Rattus norvegicus: one gene and its partner. Each later gene encodes a partner of the first gene's protein in a complex. Links are inferred from orthologs where the notes say so. Each region holds a gene or a part of one and is shown in the gene's direction. Other genes may lie near its edges.

Region 1 (6,785 bases):
AAAAGAAAACCAAGCCTGGTATTTTTCATGGAGGGCTTCCCCACTCAGGAAGACCATGAGGCCTTTCTTAGGGCTTGTGGGCTCAGCGTAGCATGGGTCCTGGAAGAGGATATGGGTTGAGGCTGACCATGCCACCAACTCTTACAGAGACTTAGTTTATTTACTGTTATCACATGCACTTTCTGATGTGTGTAAGTGAAGGTGTCCACATGTACAGTGCATGTGTGGAGGTGCGAGGACAGCTTTCAGGAACTAATTCTCTTCCCACTGTGGGTTCCAGAGATTTAACTCAGGTCACCAGACTTGTATGGCAAGAATATTTTCCCATTGAGCCATCTTGCTGGCCCCCTCAACCAGGTGTCAGAAAGTTTGACTGGCCTTTATCAATGCCTCCCCGCTTGTGGCATTGGCCACCAGTATGTCCTGTCACAGGGAAGTATATGGATATGCACAGGAATAGTGTTTTGCTTACGTAACTTCTCCCCCTCTGATGTTTCTGAGACATGGTCTTTCTTCCTGTCTCAGATTGTTCTCAAGCTCTCAGTCCTTGAGCATCCTGAGCACTGAGGTTACATGCATGTGTGATTCTCGAGGTGTACTTGTCTAACTGTTAAATACCCAACTCTCAAGAAAACCTTCAGTTGTTGAAAACTGTGAGGTGGGCAGCGAATGAGTCATGTGATCAGCCAGTGTGTGCAGCTCGCTTTTGGGTTTAGATTTCTGGGAATTCTAGGCTGCGAAAAATCTCTGCTGTAACCATGGGAGCTAAAGAGATGCCATGTTTCATTCTCTGTGTCCCTTCCGGCTTATGAAATCTATTTACCAGAAAAGGAAAGGGGTGGGATTGGGGAGGACATGTTCTCAGAGGTGACTGCCCTTCACCCCCTCTGTGGTGTGATGTACCTAGACCTTTCAACTCTTTGAACTCAAAGGCTGTGATTGGATGGGGTTGCTTCTGGGATGTCTGATGGTACCTGGGTTGCTCATTTGTGCCTGATGCTGTTCTTGTAGAATGTCCCTGCAGTGAGGACATCAGTGATACCTCCCAGGAACCTTCTCCACCCAAAACGTTTGCTGTCACCAGGTGCGGGTCCTCACACAAGCCTGCGGTCCATATGAGCCCGCAGCTCCATGGTTCAGATACTGGAAACCACAAAGGGAAATTGAAAGCATGTGGTAAGAGTTCACTCTCACTCGTGGACTATTAGAACGTGTGTGCTATGTGAGCATGGGTGTGTTGTAGAGTAGTACTCAGTGATTGGAAGTAGTCAGTGAGAAGGTCTAGCCTTATCCCCTGCAGTTGCCTCTACCTCTCTCCCTACCGTGTGCAGAAATCTAAAGGTGGCTGTGGACAGAAATGCCTATAAGGCAGGTAGGTCCTGGTTGGCTGGGGATAAAGCTAGGAAGCATTTTAGAGTCCTTGGGGTGATGATATATGTGGGTCATAAGAAGTCACTTTTCTGACAATGAGCTCAGTGATGCTGGGAGCCCCTTTGTGTCCCCTTAGGGAAATGGGGACATTAGTTCAGCCCTGGTCAGGCAGCATGCATCAGTTGAGCTGTTCTAATAAGCATAAAGCTGAAAACTGAGTCCTGTTTCCAGGCCCATGGAAGTCCCTGGACAAGTGGGGATGAAACACAATGTTACGTGTGAGTTTAGAGCACTGACTGTTGGCTTCCCTTTCCTTCCAGAGGAGGATAATTTGAGCGAGTCCTCTTCCGAGAGCTTTCTTTGGAGTGATGAGGAATACGGTCAAGATGTTGATGTGACCACCAACCCAGATGAGGAGCTTGAAGGCGACGACCGCTATGACTTTGAGGTGGTCCGATGCATCTGTGGAGTGCAGGAGGAAAATGACTTTATGATTCAGGCAAGTAGAGTTTCCAGAACACAGGTTAGAGGAAGACATGAGTGAGTCATGTGAGCAGTTCGCACAGCATTAGACTGAGCTTGCTTTTGGGTTCAGATTTCTGGGAATTCTAGGTTGCTGAAAATAACCCATTATAGAATGAGAAGTCATTGAGGCCAAAGGGAAAGCCTTGCCTGTGGTCTCACAGAGAGGAGTTGGACAACAGGGACTCAGACTGTAGAGTGGTAATTCAGTCTTCTTTATGGGCTCATCTTCTCTTTGAGATAAATTTCCCTGGTGTCCTGAGGGAAGAAATGGAGTCAGGTTTTATAATTTGTCTTCCTCTGTTATTTGGTGTGTGTGTATGTATGTGTGTGTGTATGTATGTGTGTGTATGTGAGCATGCATGTGTGCTGGCAGCAGGTGTTCCCAATGAAGGGATTTGGCAGCCTACCTACCATACATCTCTGCATAGGCTATATGTATTAGGAAGAGCAGGCTTTTTTGGCTTTTTGCTTTCCTTGTTTTATATGCATGATAACAAAATTTGAAGTTGACTTAAATTTGAAGTTGCATTTATGTCTTTTGTCCTTTTTTTTTTTTTTTAAGGGCAGAGTCTCTGTCTTAGTTACTTTTCTGTTGCTATGATAAAATATCCTCACAAAAGCAACTTAAGGGAGAAGTTACTGTAGCCCACAGTTCTAGATGGACATAGAATGGTGTGGTGGCAGGGGCATGAAGCCAGCTCCTCCTGTCTCAGTGTCGAGAAGAAGAGTGGAACTAATTCATACCTGCATGCCACACTTAGCTTACTTCTTTACTCTGGCAAGGTTTAGCATCCCCTGCCCAGGAATGGTACCACCTATAATGGGGGTCTCCCTCTCACGCTATCCAAAACAATCCTGAATAAACAGACTCATAAACTAACCTGATCTAGACAATCCCTAAATGAGAGACTCTTCACCGTGATTCTAGATTCAAGCTAATGAAACTAACCAGTCTCACTTGGCCCCATTTCTTCTCAAACATGCTGTATTTTCTGTTTTGTCTCCTAAATGCTGAGGTTACAGGCACAGGCTACCATGCTGTCTCTGCTTCCTGGGTGTAGATCTGTGTGGCTTCTTCTAGAACTTCAGACGCTTTGTTCTTTAAGCACCTTATGCATGCTTATTTTGGTGTGGAGTGAGGGCTGTGACTTCAGTTTACTGGCAGTGTGCTCACATTTTGAAATGTTGCTTGATTTACTGCCTTTCTCTGTACATTCGGGTCTCTTTCTGGATCCTCTCTTTTTCAGTGAAGCAGAGGCGGAAGAACACAACAATGCTGTGTGATTATTTTATGCCTTTGTAATAGTCTAATTCCCTGGCAGGGCTGGCCCCCTCCCTCTCATCTTTCCTCTCTGCATATATTTTCTGTCTACTAATTTTAGAGTCCTGCTTAGTTTCAGAGCTACCAACTTCCTTATTTTTGGGGGCCACAATGTTTTATAAGCCCAAGTAAAGTTAGTGTCTTCAAGGTAGTGATCCTTTCTGCTTCCTGACCCTGGCAGGTCTCCCAGGACCAGGAAAGAGGGGGTTGAGCGCAGGCTTTGCAGGAACTCTTGCACTTGGCTAAGTTCACGCTGTCTCATGTGCCATTAATCACCTGTGCAACCTTCAGCAAGTTTTAAGAATAAATGCAGAGAACTAGGGCGTGATTGCTCTAGGAGGCCAGAGGGACTTAGCTACCATCTGTTAATAATAGAAACTCAGTGTGAGGCTTTGTGCTGAGTTCATAGTGGGAGGATGTGCATATGACCCATGGATTCCTAACAGACAGCCTGTGGTGTGGGCAGGAACAGTATCGCATCTCCACTTGGGGAAACTGAGGCCTAGGGCTGAGACCTGGAACTGTGCCATGTAACACATAATGTATTCTAAGAGTTTGAACAGGTTTCATTAAGCCCCACAAAGTGATCATGAGGCTGAGCGGCAGGAATGGCAGCAATCAGTCTGAAGTCAGTACTATTCAACTGATTACATTTTTGCTCCATGTTTTGTTTTTGAGACAGGTTCTGAAGTATTCCAGGCTGGCTCTGGTCTCATTGTGTAACTGAGTCTGGCTGAGCCTATCCTCATGCCTCTGCCTTTCAGGTTCTGGGATCATAGACATATTCCACCACACTTGACCATCTAGATTCTCTTTATTGTGCTCTATTCTGTTCCAGAGACAATAGTCATACGGACACTTCTGAAATGGCTCTTGGGACTGAAGAACTAAGGACTCTTAACTTAATTTGTTCGTTATGCGTCACCCTCCATGTGATCAGTGGTGGCCTAGTTGGGTCATTGTGTAGCCATAGCTTTGTTGAGTAGAGGTCAGAAGGGAGCGCTCCCCCCATTTCCTTTCACCCACACTCCAGGTCAGTGGGCTCTACTTTCTAAGTTCTGTTGCTTCTTTAATTCTCACAGTGTGAAGAATGCCAGTGCTGGCAGCACGGGGTCTGCATGGGATTACTGGAAGAAAATGTGCCCGAGAAATACACCTGCTACGTTTGCCAAGACCCTCCAGGTAGAGCTTTCTGGAGCTGGGTTGGGAGCAGTATGTAACCTCTTCCTTAGCACAGCAACTTTCCACACACCGTGCTTGTACTCTCGGAGAATCTTCGCTAATGACCAGGTGACTCTGCTCACCTTTGTTGCAAGCCCACGTGGTGGCCTGTCCTTCTGAACGTAGCAGTAAGGGATATGTGTGAAGATGCTTACCTAGCAGAAGGCCTGGTCTTGGAATGTAGTGGGAAACACATATGGTGTTGTTAACGAGAAGCACAAAGCTTGTAGGTCTGATCAAAACTGTCCACAGTGTTGAATGCTCCACGAATTCTCCTGTCATTCTTGCTCAGGGCCTTGCCAATCTTTTGTTCCAGTTTCAGTAGTGAGAGAGTTTCTTCCTTGAGAGCTGAGGATGAGTGTGTGGCTCTGTTGGTGGCATTGCAGGGATGTCCGAGGGCACGTGTTTGCCATTGCACTCACGAGTGACTCGAGTGAATGCATCGGGTTGGAGGGTGCTGTCTCCTGAGCCTTTGGAGCAGGAAGTGCTGCCGAGTCCCTGAGCTCATGCTTCCTGTCCTTTCCAAGGAGGCTTGTGATGGGCAGGGCCCAGGAATCACCCAGGTCATCTGTTATTTGACAGATGGGAAGCAGGGTCCAGCGAAGGGAGGGCCTGTCACCTGACTAGCTGGGGCAGGCAGTACTGTTGGAAGGGGCTTGGAGCCTTATACTTGCTCTGTGTCCCTTTGACACATGATGTCAGGCTCTGGGACCACAGCCATCAGTAAGATGGTTCATTTCTTCTGCCTTTTAATGGGACCTGGGAGAGAAAACAAGTTAAATAAACATAAGACAGGTATACAGGTGAAGCTAGGAGGGAAAGCAATGAGGTGGTAACCAGGGACCCTGAAAAGGCCTTCTGTTGCCAGCTGGTGACCAAAAGGCCTGTGTGAGGAGACGGGCAGCATATGCCCTGGAGAGGCCTCGGGATGTGCTGATTCAGATAGTAGTACTAGAGGGAAGAGGTGAGGCCAAGGAAGAGGTGTGTGTGTGTGTGTGTGTGTGTGTGTTTAAAACTCATGATAAGGGTGGAGTGAGGAGAAGAGGAAAGAAAGCAGGATTCAGTCGGCCTTAATAGATAGAGTTAGGGATTTTGGGTCGCCTTCTGTAAGCAGGCGAAAGCTATGGAAGGTTGTGAGAGAGGAGGGAAGGAAATGACTTAAGTCTGAAGAAATAACTCAGCTGGCCATGACGGTAAACATCTGTATTCCAGAACTCTTCAAGGAGAAGCAGGAGGAGTGGGTTCAAAGCCAGTCTAAGCTACATGGTCAGTTTGAGGATTGTCTGAGCTGTGTGAGAGCCTGTCTAGAGAAAGGAGGGGAAGGGCAGAAGCAGCATGGGAAGGAGGGAGGAGATGGTTGAAAGGAGGAAGAATACAGACCTGTGGCTAGTGGAAGGGACCATGCCTTGTTTCTGCCTTGTCGCCAACACCTCATGGAGGCCAAGTAAATGTGAACCAAATGAATGCAGCAGTCAGAACACAGTTCTGGAAACTCAGGATGATAGGACCGCTGAGGGGACAGCCTAGGCTTCCCTCGGGCGTGTTTGACTGTTTTAATGTTATCACTGTAGGTCAGAGGCCTGGCTTCAAGTACTGGTATGACAAGGAGTGGCTGAGCCGGGGACATATGCATGGTCTGGCATTTCTAGAAGAGAACTACTCCCATCAGAATGCCAAGAAGATTGTGGCCACCCATCAGCTTCTCGGGGATGTTCAGAGAGTGATTGAAGTTCTGCACGGCTTGCAGCTCAAGATGAGCATCCTGCAGTAAGTGTGCTGCTTGCAGCTTTGGGCAGGAATTCACTGTGGCTCTCAATCCAGTCAGGTTTGTGGGAAACCACAAAGACTGATAAGTTTGAGACCTGTACCAAAAATTCTGTTGCCATACTGAGTTTGTGGCTTAGGGGTAGAGTGTTTGCCTAGCCTGTGTGGTACTGAGTTTGATTATCAGTACCCTCACCCCACCCAACTCCCCTCAAAGTCAGTTTACATATAAGCATTTCTTTGTAAAGCAATTGACTTTATTAAGGACTACTTTGCGTGTAATTAAGTTCACTTATATTAAGACCTTATTGAATTTGGTAAGTGCATGTAACACATGTAAATTGGGACATGCTGTATGCATTTGGTGTCTTGTTTTCCTGTTTAAAGCAGTTGTGTACGTGCATGTGCACACAAATGATACACGGTTCAGAGGTCAGAGGACAGTTTGCAGGAATTTGTTCTGTCCTTTTACCATGTCTTAGCCTTTCCTTGAGAAATGGAATTATTATAGATATTGGCCACTGTGCATAATATACACACTTAAGTTTGCTTTGTGCTGTCTTTGGGTGTACTGTTGTTTGTT
Region 2 (7,357 bases), on another chromosome or scaffold:
TAGAAAATACTTAAGTATTAGTCTACTTTTCTCATTCATGGATCATTGCATTTTTGTATCTGAGACTCAGCATCTTTTCCTTCTTGTAAATGATTTTAGTGTTTTGGTTTAGTGTATCCTACATACTCCTGTATTATTAGGTTCACCAGTGGTGATAGAAAAATTGAGTATCTCCAATTGCAAACAGCAGTAGATTTGAGTATTGAAACAAAATCATGGTGACATCACTGCTGGGGTTCCTGAGGCCTTTGCAACATAATTCACCTCTCACACCTTGCTTCTAGACAAAGGCAATTGGAGGGGTCCTATCTATCCTAGTATGGTTGGAATCTAAATATATGCGTTTCCATTATTTTGGGAACTAATTATTTTTTTTTAAAGATTTTTTTCTTTTTTTTTTATGAGTTATTTTGATACTCGTGCTAGGAAAAGGGAGAAACTAAACCATCTTGAGATCGGAATGCCTATTTTATTCTCCTGGGTTCGGGAGAATTTAAACAGTCTATGCAACCCACCAGATAGTGAGAAATAGCTTCCTGCCATTCCACTGAGCTCTCGGTGACTCATACGTCCTCAAATGTCCTGGCGTTGGTTGAGGTTTGAATCTTTATGTTTAGGAAGCATTCTCACAACAGCACGCTGTCATTTCTTTCTTACCCCTCAGCGGGTGGAAGGTTGGAGAAGAATGGTACTGTGATCTTACCTGATGGAGTGGTCTAAGTTCACAGTTGTTTCAGAGTGGGTGGACTCTGTTTTAGTATTCTGAGATTGTTAGTATGAACTTGGCAATGGAAAGGGGAAGGAAAAGAATGTTTAATAAAAATCAGTGTCTACTCTTTCCTTTATGAGTGCGTATTCCTGGTTGTATGGCGAGAAACTCATGGGTTTTGTGTTGCCATGTGAATGTCGAGAGGGATGCTTGACAGCATGTTAACTGAAGCCAGAGCAAGTGTGTCTGCCATCAGGTAATCTGGAGACGCCAGTGTATGCCGCAAGGAAGTGAGGAGCTGAGGACCATAGTGAAATCACTTACAGAGCGGAAGGGCTGTCTGGCCTAAGAACCCAAAGGAAACAGTGCTGCAGCAGCCTTGTAGGTGTGATTTAGGGTTCTGAACTGGAGACTGATCTTTATTACCTGACTTGCCACACGCAAAACTGTTCATTTTCTTATCAGACCAAAGAACAAAAAGAAGAGAAAAATGAAAAAGCAAAGTCACACTTTTACCGGTTTATGTCACTCAGGTACAATTGTGTGGTGAGGTTTTGTTTTTTTGTCTGATTTTTTTTTTTTTGTACTGCTCAGCATATTATTCTGCTGTTGCTTCTGTCCTCTGTGGGGCACCTGAGTTTTGGGTGCTACTCCTGGGATCTCTACTGCTGTTAGGTGAATGACAGTACAATGGAAGTGACCATTATCATAAGGGCTCTTTGTAAAAAAACTTTAAAAACGCAAAAAAATTTAAAGAAGGATATTGTATACATTTTATAGTCTGGCTATCAGTTTGATATCTTGCTGTCAAGGATGTTTCTCAATCTGTATTTATCCATCCCATCAATAAACGTTAATGATAAAATACTTGATTGTCGTTTTGCATGTTCCATGTCCTTAAACCAGTCTTTAACTGTTTGTTAAATCGTTCCCACTCTGCCTTTGTGTAATAGTATTAGGTTCCTATCACACAATACGCTATGGATGTTGAATCTGCTAGAAAGACCTGAGATTCAACAGTGAACCTGGTGGGTAAAGTAGCTTGTAGGCAGGGGAAACATTCATGCTGTACTGTTGCAGGAGTGCCTGAAGAGTTAAAAATAGCTTAGCTATATAGTAGGCTAAGCCATTCACTTGGCAAGCAAGCATCAAGACACAGCTGAACCTTTGGTACACAGTATGTTTTTATTCAAGACAGTTTCACTGTGTAGCCATCTGGCCTCAAACTGCATCCTCTTGCTACATCAAGATCTTGAGTTCTGAGAAACATAACTGGCATGGACTACCATGTCTGGCATGTATTTTGAAGAAAAGTTACACTTTTTGATAATGTGGAAAAGTTGTGAATGCTACATAAGGTAGATCTTACAAATTACACAAAGGAAAAGACCCTCTATGCACAACTACTTCAAACTTCAGGGGTACAGTACTTTGAAAACATTAAAAGGAGGGTTGGAGAGATGGCTCAAGTGGTCGGGAGTGCTGACTGCTCTTCTAGAGATCTTGAATTCAATTCCCAGCAACCACGTGGTGGCTCACAACGCTCTGTAATGGGGTCCAATGCCCTCTTCTGGTGTGGTGTGTCTGAAGACAGTGACAGTGTACTCACTCACATACATTAAATAAATAAACCTTAAAAAAAAAATCACGAAAACGGAATAGCCTGCTGTTTCTATAATACACTATCCAGCAGGGGAGTTAGAGGATTTGAGAGAAGCATGTCCTACTCTCAAATTTGATTTTCCGTCACTATATCCGTAAATAATGTCTACCTAAGAGAAAAATAGCGTCTACCTTTTAGGGCTGCTCTGCAAAAATTAATTAGTACATATGAGTCTCGAGACAGGAAAAAGAAGAGTTGGAGTGTTTACATGAAAGGACCAAAAAAATGAGCTGAACTGTTCACAATAGAAAACTAACAAAACCTTTTCATGTGTAAACAGAAAACACGGTCAGTCACCGTTCAGTTTTCTGCTGTGTAGGGATGGTAAAGAGGTAGCTGCTTGGGAAGACTGGAGACCACCGCCACCAGAAAACCAACGGTACAGAGATGGAAAAAAATATCTGAACCCAGCGAGGAGCTGTGGCCCGCCTTTCCCACCGCCCACTCACGGGCCGAGTTTCTGACAGACACTTCACATCAGCCAATCGCGTTGCGGAGTCTCACTGTCCCGCCCTCCTCGGGTCTAGTGTTGATTCTGACCAATAAAGGTACAGCAGCCTTAATACAACGACCAATCAGCGCTTAGGAGCCGCAGGGCCGAGTTCCGTGCAGGCGGAGCAGCCAGAGGGCGAGCTGCGCGGCGCAGCGCGGCGGGGAGGTAAGATGGCGCCGTGCCGGGCTCTTCTCCTTTGCCGTTAGGCTGCTGCTCGCCCTTTCTATCAACTCAGCGCGGTACGTCGTCTCCTGCAGCGTCAGAGTCATTCTGATTGTTGGGCTTTCGGGAGCCAGGTTCTCTGGTGCCGGGAGCCGTAGGACAAGATGGCGCTCGCAGGACGACGGCGTAGGCGCTTGGGCCGGGGCTGTGAGCTCTGAGGCGGCCAGGGACAAAGGCGGCGTGCCGGGGCGTGGGGGCGGGGCGCGCCGTTGCAGTTGTGCCGCGTGGGACAGGCGCCGCGCTTCCGGTCGGCTACTGTGGAGACTCGGCCAACGTGGTAGGGACCAGAGAAGCGAGCGGGCGGGCGGGCGGGTAGGCGGGTAGGGAGAAGGCGGGGGTGGGTGGGTTAGTAACGGAAGGTTGGAGGGCGGCGGGAGTTACGGTGCAACCCTCGTCCTGCGGCCCGCCGACCTGCGGGAGCACGTAGACAAGGACTTCTGGCAAGGTTAAGGCCATTTTGATCTTTCCCGTGACCACCTACCCGCAGGTTTTGGTATGAACAGGATTCGGATTCACGTCTTGCCAACGAATCGGGGGAGGATCACCCCAGTGCCCAGATCTCAGGAGCCCCTCTCTTGTTCGTTCACTCACCGCCCATGCTCTCAGCCGCGTCTGGAGGGGCAGGAGTTTTGTCTTAAGCATATTCTTGAAGACAAGAATGCACCCTTCAAACAATGTAGTTACATTTCGACGAAGAATGGGAAGAGGTGCCCCAGTGCTGCCCCAAAGCCTGAGAAGAAAGATGGGTATGTGTAGAGCGCGTGGGTATGTTGTGCCTTGGGGCTCTGAGAGTCGTTCCTTAATTTTCAATGCTGAGGATTGAACCCTGGGTCTGGTTCACGTAAAGCACAGGTTGCATCACCGAGCCTATTTTTACTATAGTTTGAAGCATTTATCTCCGGTTTGTAGTTTGATTTGTGTGTGCAGGGACACGTGGGGAGGTCAGTGGCCGATTTGTTGGAGTCGGTTCTAATGCCTCTTGGTATGGTGAATAGGAGGACGTTAGGCTCGGCTCGCAGAGTCATGGACGCCCCCACCTCCCTTTTGAGACAGTCTATATTCCCGGAACTTCTCCTCATGCGGACAAGACTGGCTTGGAACAGTTTTGGCAACCTTTTACGGTTTTTAAATTTTTTTTCCGTGTATGGGTGTTTTGCCTGCTTGTATGTTTGTACCATGTTCATGCTTGAGGAGGAGAGGGCGGTGGATCTCCAGGAACTGGATGGAGTTACAGAATGTTGGTGCGTCACCATGCCTGTCCCCTGCCTTCAGTTTTAAAGTGAAAAGAGGAACATGTGTAGTTATTTTATGTTGGTCATATCTGTGAAGTTTTAGGTCATGTGTTTGTAAAATTGGAATTAAAGGATACATTCTTTGGGAGGCATGTCAAAATACGAAAATGATCAGAACTGATGCTAGGCGGTGGTGGTGCAGGCCTTTAATCCTAGTGCTTGGGAGGCTGACTTGGGGTGATCTAGGAGTTCAGGCAAACCTAGGCTACAGGGTTGAATTCCAGAATAGACAGGGCTAAACAAAACCCTGTCTTAACCCTCCTACCCAACTCCGCCAATGATGAGAACTTGAAGGACACTTGAGGCACTGCTGAGGAAGGGGCATTTAGTTAATTGCTTACTTGTAAAATTAACATTTGAGTTCTCACTGTGGTCAGAGTAATTTTGAACCCCTAATTCTCCTGCCTCAGCTTCTGGAGTTCTCAGATTATTCCCATACTCAGATCTAAATTCTTCCTTAAACATTTATTCCGTGGATTCACGTGCTGCCAAACATGTGTGGTCAGAGGACAACCCTCTGGAGTTGGTTTTCCTGCTGTGTGGGGTGGTGATGGAACTTGGGTGGTCCGGCCTTGGTGGTAGGTGCTTTTGTTTGCTGAGTCACTGAACTGATGGCACTTCATGTTGGAGTGCTGACTCACTTGCCAAACCTTGTTAAGTAAAAGGCACACTCACTATATGTATGTGTGTTTTGGAAGGAGCTTCATAGTTTTTTATCATATGTACTTACCTGTGCAAACATAGGACTTTACTAGATAATTTTTTATAGATCTTCTTGCTTTAGAATTGTCTGTCTATAGTGGATTGATATTAATATGTGTTTGCAGAATTTATTTTGAAAAAAATACAAGCAGCTCTGATTTTCTGAGATACTGCTAACATTTTTATAGCTGGAATGGATTTGATAACTAGAACAGTGGGTAAGCTACTTGTCGCTCCCTTTGAGAGCAGCTACTATGAGCCAGGGAGGCAGCATGAGTTAGAGCTTTCCCTGCCTGGAGCTCTGGGCCTGACTGAACAGCACACATGCCACGCCACGCCACGCCACGCCACGCCACGCCCCCACCACACCTCACCAAGGACCCCAAATGGCTTACTTGAGGGCAGTTATATTTTTGATTCACATTGCTGCCTGACCCACAACCCCACAACAGGGTCTATTTAACCCTGGCTGTCCTGGAACTGTGTATACCAGGCTGACCTTGAACTCACAGATCCACCTCTGCCTCTAAAGTGCTGGGATTAAAGGCGTGAGTCACCATGCCTGGGTTTCATACTGCTCTTCAAGGTGTGACTATAAGTCATATTTCCTAAAGAAAAAAATCAACTGGTGACTGAATATTGCTGGTTCTTTCAAGAGAGGGCCTATTAAATATTAATGCTTTGTCTCCTTAGGGTGTCTTTCTGTGCTGAACATGCTCGAAGGAATGCCCTAGCACTTCATGCTCAAATGAAGAAGAGTAACCCAGGCCCTATGGGTGAAACCCTCTTGTGCCAGTTGAGCTCATATGCTAAAACAGAGCTGGGCTCGCAGACCCCAGAGAGTAGCCGAAGCGAGGCGAGCCGGATACTGGGTAAGCAAGGAAGGTGCTTACGAGCGAGCCGATTTGGCTCGCTGCAGTGCCTTGGGAGCTGGGTGGCAGTGCCGGGCCTGCTCGTGCTGGTTGCTGGTTGTTTTGCATTTAGAGTTTGTTTAGATAGATTTCTCCCAGCTTGGTGACCTTTCCTTGTGTTAACAATTGAAACAGTTAAAAACTTTGCATTTTAAGGTTTTGGGTTGATCTCTAAGTAATGTAGCTTCATATGTGGAGTTACAGAGGTGGGAAGTCTTAATGGCTGCTCTTCCCTTCCTTGCCTCAGATGAAGACAGCTGGAGTGATGGGGACCAGGAACCCATTACTGTGGATCAGACATGGAGAGGTGACCCTGACAGTGAAGCTGATAGCATAGACAGTGATCAAGAAGATCCCCTAAAGTAAGTTGTATTCCACATGAGACTTTTACATGCTTTATGTAGTTAGTATGTAGAGTGTAGTGTGGCATGTGGTTAACCAATACATGTAGGTGGGTTTAAGGGTCACAGTTCAGCACCGTTTTGCTCTAAGGCAAGATTCCTTGATTATTTTGCAGAGGTCTTGTCACTGGCACCCGGGTAGTGCCCATGAGATGCTTTAGGGAAGAACACTTCTTTTGACACAAGAATGAGAGGGAGTCAGACAAGTGCTGGCTGGCTATCGAGGAGAATGCATTTAGATAGGTACTTGCCCCAAGTCTCAGAAATATGGGCTCATTATACTTAGATACGTGCTGTAAAATTCCATGGTTCTGAATTTTTAAAATTATGTATATGTATTGCAGCTATCTTCAGACACACCAGAAGAGGGCATCAGGTCCCATCACAGATGGTTGTGAGCCACCATGTGGTTGCTGGGAATTGAACTCAGGACCTCTGGAAGAACAGTCAGTGCTCTTTTAACCACTGAGCCATCTCTCCAGCTCATTTCTGACTCTTTAAATGGGAAATAACAGTGTTCAGTCAGTAGTTGGCTTTGGTTTCATGCCTAGTAAAAGGAAAACTGATTTCGAAACCCAAGTTTTAATTATGTTAAGGTCTACTCTAACCCTTGGTCATCTTAAGAATTTAGAAATATCAAAATATTTCCTGTTCCAAAATCTCTGATTTTTTGAAGCCAGTCTCATGTGGCTCTGACTGGCCTGGAACTTGGTATTTGAATCAGGCTGACCAACCTCAGGCTTTGCCTTCCCTAATGTTAGGTTTTGAATCATCTTAGCAGAATTTGTCCTCAACATTGTGCAGGTGCACACTCACCACACAAATTCTCACTGGTTTTTTGAGACAGAGTTTCTCTGTGTGGCTCTGGCTGTTGTGGATCTCACTCTATAGACCAGGTTGGCCTGGAACTCAGGGATCTGCCTGTCTCTGCCCAAAGTTAATCTTCCAATTTTTAATTACTTGA

The links. Proteins that work in one complex are often made in the same cells at the same time.
Region 2: Phf20 (region 1) and Kansl2 share a complex: the UniProt entries of both Homo sapiens proteins name them as parts of the NSL complex. The link is inferred for Rattus norvegicus from reciprocal best matches to the Homo sapiens genes PHF20 and KANSL2.

The regions. Positions count from the first base shown.
Region 1 is NC_086021.1:165,259,232-165,266,016, forward strand, and holds part of Phf20 (PHD finger protein 20), read left to right. Parts: coding exon 1-18; intron 19-1,011; coding exon 1,012-1,176; intron 1,177-1,691; coding exon 1,692-1,870; intron 1,871-4,299; coding exon 4,300-4,399; intron 4,400-6,009; coding exon 6,010-6,205; intron 6,206-6,785. UniProt on the Homo sapiens protein: Methyllysine-binding protein, component of the MOF histone acetyltransferase protein complex.
Region 2 is NC_086025.1:131,560,395-131,567,751, reverse strand, and holds the start of Kansl2 (KAT8 regulatory NSL complex subunit 2), read left to right. Parts: upstream 1-2,998; 5' UTR 2,999-3,364; intron 3,365-3,574; 5' UTR 3,575-3,582; coding exon 3,583-3,833; intron 3,834-5,774; coding exon 5,775-5,953; intron 5,954-6,239; coding exon 6,240-6,354; intron 6,355-7,357. UniProt on the Homo sapiens protein: Non-catalytic component of the NSL histone acetyltransferase complex, a multiprotein complex that mediates histone H4 acetylation at 'Lys-5'- and 'Lys-8' (H4K5ac and H4K8ac) at transcription start sites and promotes transcription initiation.